2 linked regions of the Danio rerio genome follow. The protein of the gene in region 2 binds, or shares a complex with, the protein of the main gene of each other region. Links are inferred from orthologs where the notes say so. Each region holds a gene or a part of one and is shown on either strand. Other genes may lie near its edges.

Region 1 (3,741 bases), on a different chromosome or scaffold from region 2:
AAGAGTCTGTTATTTTCATTTAGGTCTTTGCAGACTGTATGCTTTAATAACATTTTTTATATAACTGTCATCTGTTTCACTTGATTTGCTTTTGTAAAACATTTTCTGTGCATTTTGAGTGACCAACATGTAGTAAATAAACCTTTTTAGAAATGATGTACATGTAAGTCTGGGTAGTGTTTACCATATTTTTACTTTCCTGGTTTTATCATACCCATTTAGACATGACCATTGACTGCAAAATTAGGGTGCTTTTACACCAAGACGTTTGTTTCAGAATCTGACGTATTTGCTCAGTTAGCTTGGTTCATTTGGCATACTGTATGTGAACAGTGCAATCGCGCTCTGATTCGCTCCAAAACAATCAGTCCAAAATCGCCTGAATGAGGTGGTCTCGGCTTGATTGAAACAAACTCTGAAGTGTATTGAATGTAGTGAGAAAGCAATACAATCCAGGCAATGACAAACCAGGCAATATCACAGTGTATTATGGATATATAATAGCCATATATGCTGCTATATGAATGAGAATTATGAGTAGGGCAGGACTTCATCATTCTTACCAGAATATCTGTGTTTCGAGTCAAATATGAAAGTGAAAGCATGGTAAAATTTTTACGAGAGCTGTTTATCCGTTTGGAAAATTGAGCGAAATTACCATTTGATATTTTTTCTTTTCTTATTTTATCTGAAATCTACATTTGATTGTCAGTTTTTCAGAAATTATTCATTATTTCCTCAAGCAGTGCATAAATTGATCATTGGGAAATTGTGGCTCAGTGAAAACCTGTCAGAAAATGCAAACAGCACAGTCTTGTGAAAAGCAAATTAAAACCTATAGTCATTAAAGGGCTGTCATTACAACACAGCTACTGCAATTGTGCATCTATAAAAAGGTGTCTGTTACATTATCTTGATTTGTGTCAAATGCTTAGGACATCGTTTGACATGGGTAGATTTCCCCATCTGTTCCAATCTTCTAACATTTTATGTTATTCCCATATGGTACAAGGTCAAGGTCAATGAATACTTTTTATTTGATGATGGAAAGTGGAAGTCGATAACACTTTATTTTAACATGCATTTGAGCATTAGTAGAAAGTTTGCTTAATATCTGTTGTTACTGACATTAACCAGTCCTTCAACAGACATTTAACTAACTATAAGGAACTTTTCAAGTACATGTCAACTTACACTAACCATAACCTCAACCCACCAGTCAGTCTACTTACAATCTAATGAGAATTAGTTGGCTATAGATGCAATGTAACTTAAATTCAACAAACGGACCATCAAAATAAAGTGTGGCCAAAAAGTCAAGTAATTTTGTTTTAACAGATCAATAATAACAAAAATGGGTGTCGTGGGATGACATTAATTTACAAACCTGAAAAATTATCACATTTTGAAATATCGGAAATATTGTTTTGGTCATTCTAAAGTCCAAAGTTTATCAGCAAAGTGGCTCAGTATTACCTCCAGAACTGTGTTGAGCAGCAGCAATCCCAAAGAGCATCTCAGATATCCTAAAACAATCTTTACCTTCTTATTATATAAGAAAAAGGCCCTAAGTGGCTTCTCCTAACCAGCAAATTAAATTAATCTTTTTGCTATGTGGCACCAGTTTGTCAGGAAGTGATGATTGTTCTCTTCGGCTTATTGGATGGAAACAATGCTTTATTCACAAATGTTTTATGCGATATTCCAGTTTCACGCATAAGCCTGATTTGCAATCTTGGATGGAAACAAAGCTAATGTAAACCCATAAGTGGTAGTCTGTGACTTAGTTTGAGCTCACATGAAATAGATCTTACAAAAATCTTCCAATTATAAAAGCAGAAGCCAAATTAAAACCCACCTGAGCTTCTCGTCCAGAGCCCTTCTTTAATTTCTGCTTCCTCATGTCGTCGTACTTCTTCCTGCTCTCTAGATACTCCGTCACCGCCTCACTGTTCTGCTTACTGTCACCTACTGTCATCAAAAATAAAAAACACAAAAGTGATTACAACCTAGATACAAGATATTAATATCTCCTTAGGGATCAATCTATCCATTATTGTATATTTTATATATATACTAGTGTGACTAACTTGAAAGGATTTACATGAAAAGAATACAGCTGAATTCCAAAGCAGGAGTTATTACTATCATATGGACATAACTATGAAATACATAAAGTTTATACTGCTATAAACTTAGATGAAGATGACAGCTCCTGTGGGCCGCTTCCTTCCAAGAATAATCATATGGCCAATGCCAAAATTTAGGTCCTAAGACCCTCATCAGTGCAAAGGACAAAATTTATGACTTTTGCAGTCCAAATGACTTTCTGCGCTATAAGGAGATGGATTTTATTCAAATGATGAGGAAACGTGTGTGATATACAGACATATATACTAAAAGGATTACACAAGCGAAATGGAAAGCACATCAAAATGTGTTTATGTAGCACCGGGGCTCTACCATCCTTCAAAATAATCACAGTGAACACTACAAGATATAAAAAAAGGGAGAGAAAGGACAGAGGAGAGTTTCCTCCATGATAATATAAAAATCAAGTTTGACAGCATTTTGCTGCATAACTGCACAAAATGCATATTAAAAAAGCACTTACAACTTTTAAATGATAAATGATTAAAAAAAAAAAAAAACGAAATGAACAATCATTTGCCAAACAAATTATTAATATAAATGCATTAATTTATATTTATTGATACAATTAAAAGCATGCCAAACTGCATGTACCTGATTTTTTGTTATAAATTTTCTACTACTTTATAATTTGGTAATGATTGTAATTGTTATAATAATAATATTTATATATCATTTTATTTATATATATATATATATATATATATATATATATATATATATATATATATATATATATATATATATATATATATATATATATATATATTTATATAAAAGTTGGTAAGACTTAGGCCCAATCCCAATTCTATTTGTGTACCCCTTTGTACCCCTTCCCCTTGGCCCTTGAACAGAGTGTGAAAGGTAAGGGTTTCAAAATTTACCTCTAAGAAATGGGACAACACTACAGCACTACAACACTACAGCCCCTTCACACATCATCCTAATCTCTTGTTTCATATGAGATTGACGATCGTGACTGCTGTAGTTATTTCAGTTGCGTGATTTTTTTTAATGTGGTTCAATATAATGTGGCAATAAGATCATAACTGAACTGTGCATTTACACCCAGCAAATAAACACACAAAAACATCATCATCATTATACCAGACACTGTAAAAAGGTCATTTCCTGCCAATAGACTTTCTGACAGGGAATTCAAGTGTTATTGAGTGTCAGAATGTTGTGGGATTACTATACAGGATTTATTAACATGGATTATAGATAGCAAAATACAGCGGTTTTTATTTTAGCGTTTTTTTTTTTTAAAGCATGACGGTAAAACAAATGCGGTAATGAAAATATTAAAATATATGCTTGTGTGTTATAAAAATCCATTATAACGGCAAGACGAAACCTCATTTGTGCATCTCTTTACTTTAGAGTGCAGCCTCGTTGCTGTTGTGGCTGGTGTATCTGGGAAACAATCTTACCCCTTGCTTTCGAGTGTGGTTTTAAAAAAATCTCAGTTTCAATGGGTATCTAGCCCTTCCCCTTAGCCCTACACTAAGGGGTAGAATTGGAATTGGGCCTTAGTCTTTTAATTTTGTATATAAATTAAATGTTTAACAATACTTATATTAGGAAAGC
Region 2 (4,361 bases):
TGCTGGGGAAGGTGGCAACTACAGCCAATAAGTTGTTGGGAATAAAACTAAAGAGCATTGATAGATAGTACATACAAAGAAAGAGTACTAAATAAGGCTATCATGATTGTCAAAGATGAGTGACATCCTTTTCCATACACCTTCCAAGTGTTATTATCAGGTCATCACTATTGTGTTGCCAGATAAGTGAGAAATAGGACAAAATCTTAATTTATACCGTAAGCAGTTAAGTTTTTAAATTCCTCCTCCCTCAGTAGCAGTTGATGGCCAGTAGTCTAGATATTTATTTAGAGTAGGGGTACCATGTTTTTCATGATTTATTTATATAAATGGCAAATTTGAAATGTTAGTTGTCTCTGTGAGTGTATACTGCAAATGAAATTACCCTACAGGGACAAATAAATTAACCAACTAGCTAGCTAACTAACTAACCTAACTATATACACCCTCTCTGGGGAAGAAAATATTGTCCATCACTATCCACCACTGTACATGACATTTCAAACATGACCTCTTTTGAATAGATGGTAATGAAATGCAAAAACCTACTGGGCAAGTCTTCGGTTAAATGATTGATGTGGGATATTTGCATTTTTTTTTATTTATATAATTGAGGGTCAATAGTTTTGCAAAGCTAAATTACTGTACAAATCAAAGAGAAATTAGATGTGTTGTGCTTTCAAATACAAATCTAAAAGACTGTAAATGATTGCAAGTTTCCGTTCTCGTTGAATGAAATGATAAAATGATCCACTGCTGCTGTTTTGGGAGTTGTTAAAAATGGTACAAAATAAATATATAAAATAATTTATACATATTAATTTTTTTAAAGGGATAGTGATGAAATGAAATTATGTTCTCATTTACTTACCCTTCACTTGTTTATTTCTTCTGCTGAACACCAAAGAAGATGTTTGGAAACTGGTAACCATTTCTATAATATGATGAAAAACAAATACAATAGAAGCCAATAGTTACCGGTGTCCAACATTTTCGAAACAACAATACCAGTTTTAACATACTTCCAAATATCTTATTTTTGTTTTCAAATGAAAAAAAAGAATCTCATTAAGGTTAGAAACCCCTCAAGGGTGACTATATAGACAATTTTGAGGAATCTAAACAAAAGACAATGGTCCTTACGTATTTCCTGTTTTACATTTTAAATTTCTATAGCTTCCGAGAATCTAAAAAGAGCCACATATTGATAAATAATGTTATAAGAACTGTTTTAACATTAAGTTATGGTTGAATTGCCTCTTGATACAGCTGTGAAACAGTTTTATAACAAGCAGGAAATGTTTATGGGCCAACGACATCATCAAACGGAAATAGTTTATAGTAAGTACATTTTTATTTTTGGATAAACTATTTCTTTAATTTCAGACCTCCACTCCAGCTCAACTGAGGATTCACGGCTCTATTCCCCGCCTGTCCAGCGAGTGGCGCAGCGGGCAGATCCGCTCTTCTCTCCTGCCGTGCGGTCAAAGTGCGCTCGTAGTCCTTCCCTCTTTCGGCGGCAAGGCGTGCGAGTGTGCTGCATTAGCTTATACTATTCAAATAAACAATTTTTGTGTCTGAAAATACTACTTAAGTAATCCAGTCATGGTAAGTTCATCGTTATCTCTTTTATTTGTATCCAAACCTTCAGTTTGGCGAAAGAGCGTAGACGTTTTCATTCATAAATACGCTGATAATGCGGCTAGGTGTTAGCATCAGGAACGCAGACTGGACGTTGTTTTCAGTCATTTTCAGTGTTGTGTTAGAAATGTTGAGCTTTGCTGATAAATGTTCCTCCTTGTTCTCTTACAACCTAGTCGGTGACTCCCAAAATGCGATTAAATGATATATGTGTGGGAAAACTAAAGATAAAAACTAACGTTAAAGGAGTTTTTTCTGCTATTACTGATGCTTATTTGCAGCTAATTCTGGTGGAAACCAAAAACAATTAATGCTGTAAATTATTATATTGTTTTATTGAAGTTATACAATATATATATATATATATATATATATATATATATATTGTGTGTATGCATGCGTGTTTTGATTTTTTATACCACAAACTACAGTAATGAGAATTTGTCATTACAATTTAAAATGAAGTCATATCAATTGTATCTGTTTTTGTTTTGTTTTTATTATTTGTTTATTTTGCTTGTGTAAATTCATGCGGCTAGTGTCAAAACTTTTTACTAAAAGTTATAACAAGCTGATGAAGAAAAAAAACTAAAACCCAAAATGTAAATCTTTTTTTTTTTCTATTTGGTCAAATATGACTGAGCATCACCGGAGGCTATGCTAAAGTTTCTTCTAAGCTTTTCACTCACTTGAGAATAAAATCATCAACATTTGTAGTATTTTACTTCTTCAGGAACAATATTATGTTGACATGGAATTGTTTGAAAATGACACTTAGGGATTGATTTCGAATGATGTTAATTGTGTAACACTGATCTTTTCCCTCAGAGTTTGCCGCTGAACCCAAAGCCCTTTCTGAATGGTCTGACAGGAAAGCCTGTGATGGTGAAGCTGAAGTGGGGCATGGAGTACAAGGGCTACCTGGTGTCAGTGGATGGGTACATGAACATGCAGGTATGTTTAAAAGAGTTAACGATTCTATGAAAATCCAGCTCCTTAGTAGGAAGAAAATTTAAACTATTCTTTTTAACTCGAGACATACCGTTGTATATGCCATTATGGAGATGCTAGACACACACAGACATCTGCTTAAAGCAGAAGGTGGCCAAAAATGTAAATATTGTAATGGCAACCTAGCTGTCAAGCATATACACTTCATATGAAAACCTCAATATTTAGCAATTCTGAGTGTGCCTTACACAAGTGAGTGGGCTTTATAAACACTCCTTGACACACTTGCACTAGTTTTGTCTATTTGTACCAGACCCTCTCTTTCAACCACTTCATAGCTCTATAAAACATTGTGCATTTCTGAGATTGGTTCACACAGGTGAGTGGGCTTGACAAACCACCTGTAGAAATGCTAATCTCTCTAAATGCAAGTTTTTCTAGATCTCTTACAAGGACTTAATAAAAAAAAAAAAACAATGTTTACCTGTGACTGTACCACAAATTGTTTAACTGGTCATTTCCTTCAACCTTAAATGATCTCTTTTGCACAATATTGTTCTGTCTTATATAAAAGTACTTGTATAGTCTGTCTAAGGTTATGCGTAAAGTTTTTTTTTTTTTTTACTATTTATAGACCGTTTCAATGTGGTGATGCCATTGGCCCATGAATATTTCCTGCTTGTTGTCAATTCATATCTGTAACAAGAGGCGATTCATTCATAACTTATATAACAGCTATTATAACAGCTATTGTAACTATCAATATGTGGGACTTTTTGGACTCTCAGAAGCTACTGAAAATACAGTAGGACCATTGTTATTGTTTACATCCCTCAAAAAGGTCTTTAGTACATGTATAGTTAATTACTGCTCTGCTATGTAGTTATGTATAGGTTTAAAATCGCTCTTATGTCTATAAGGGTTGTTTATATTTATGATAGTTTATTTATGTTGCACTGTGGTCCTGCAAGACATTTCACTGTGTGTCCACAGATGTAGCGGAATGACAATAAAACTCAACTCGAGTTGATACTTTTGCAATGCCCTGTTTAAAATGTTTTAGATAACCATTTTTATCTGGAGAGTTCTTAAAGCAGGGATGTCAAACTTTGTTCCTGGAGGGCCGCAGTCTTGCATAGTTTAGTTGCAACCCTGCTTCCCCACACTACAGTTTGAGCATGTGAAATTCTGCCGTTTGGTGCTGCAAAAAGGGGCGGGATTAAACAAGCTGATTACGATTTGACCATATTTAAAATTTCTGTACAGAGAGGTCGTGTTTTGATCTTCTATTGGTCAGAGTTCACCAAGCTTTAAGTTTCCAACACATCGAACTGCGAAACTTGTGGCACGAGCTTGCGTTTCCTGTCTAAGGCATTTACTTGCTAATAAATGGAAGTCTATAGGGGTGCAGTGTGCCTGCCGCTTTACCTGTAGGTTTCAAACGACTGTAGGACTCAATTAGTTTGATCAGGTGTGGTTAATTAGGGTTGGAATTAAACTGTCCAGAGCTTTTGGTCCTCCAGGAATTGAGTTTGACACCTGTGCCTTAAAGCAACTATTTAAAAAAAAAAAAAAAAAAAGTGAATCTTTCGAAGATGGTAGAATTAAACTATTTTAAGTTTTTATCTAATTTTATTTGTTAATGTTGTTTGTCTTTTTATTGTTACATATATTGTAATGATATTTTGTATATTTCATATACTTTTGTTATAAGACTCGCAAAACTGATATGGCAATAAACCCTAAACTGCCTCTCTCTTTGCGATATT

The links. The genes of interacting proteins can lie anywhere in the genome.
Region 1: snrpf (region 2) and cwc27 share a complex: the UniProt entries of both Homo sapiens proteins name them as parts of the minor spliceosome. The link is inferred for Danio rerio from reciprocal best matches to the Homo sapiens genes SNRPF and CWC27.

Annotation. Positions count from the first base shown.
Region 1 is NC_133185.1:12,136,509-12,140,249, reverse strand, and holds part of cwc27 (spliceosome-associated protein CWC27 homolog), read right to left. Parts: intron 1,972-3,741; coding exon of another isoform or gene 1,969-1,971; coding exon 1,859-1,968; intron 1-1,858. UniProt on the Homo sapiens protein: As part of the spliceosome, plays a role in pre-mRNA splicing. Probable inactive PPIase with no peptidyl-prolyl cis-trans isomerase activity. As a component of the minor spliceosome, involved in the splicing of U12-type introns in pre-mRNAs.
Region 2 is NC_133182.1:19,363,912-19,368,272, forward strand, and holds the start of snrpf (small nuclear ribonucleoprotein F), read left to right. Parts: upstream 1-1,418; 5' UTR 1,419-1,605; coding exon 1,606-1,608; intron 1,609-2,469; coding exon 2,470-2,595; intron 2,596-4,361. UniProt on the Homo sapiens protein: Plays a role in pre-mRNA splicing as a core component of the spliceosomal U1, U2, U4 and U5 small nuclear ribonucleoproteins (snRNPs), the building blocks of the spliceosome.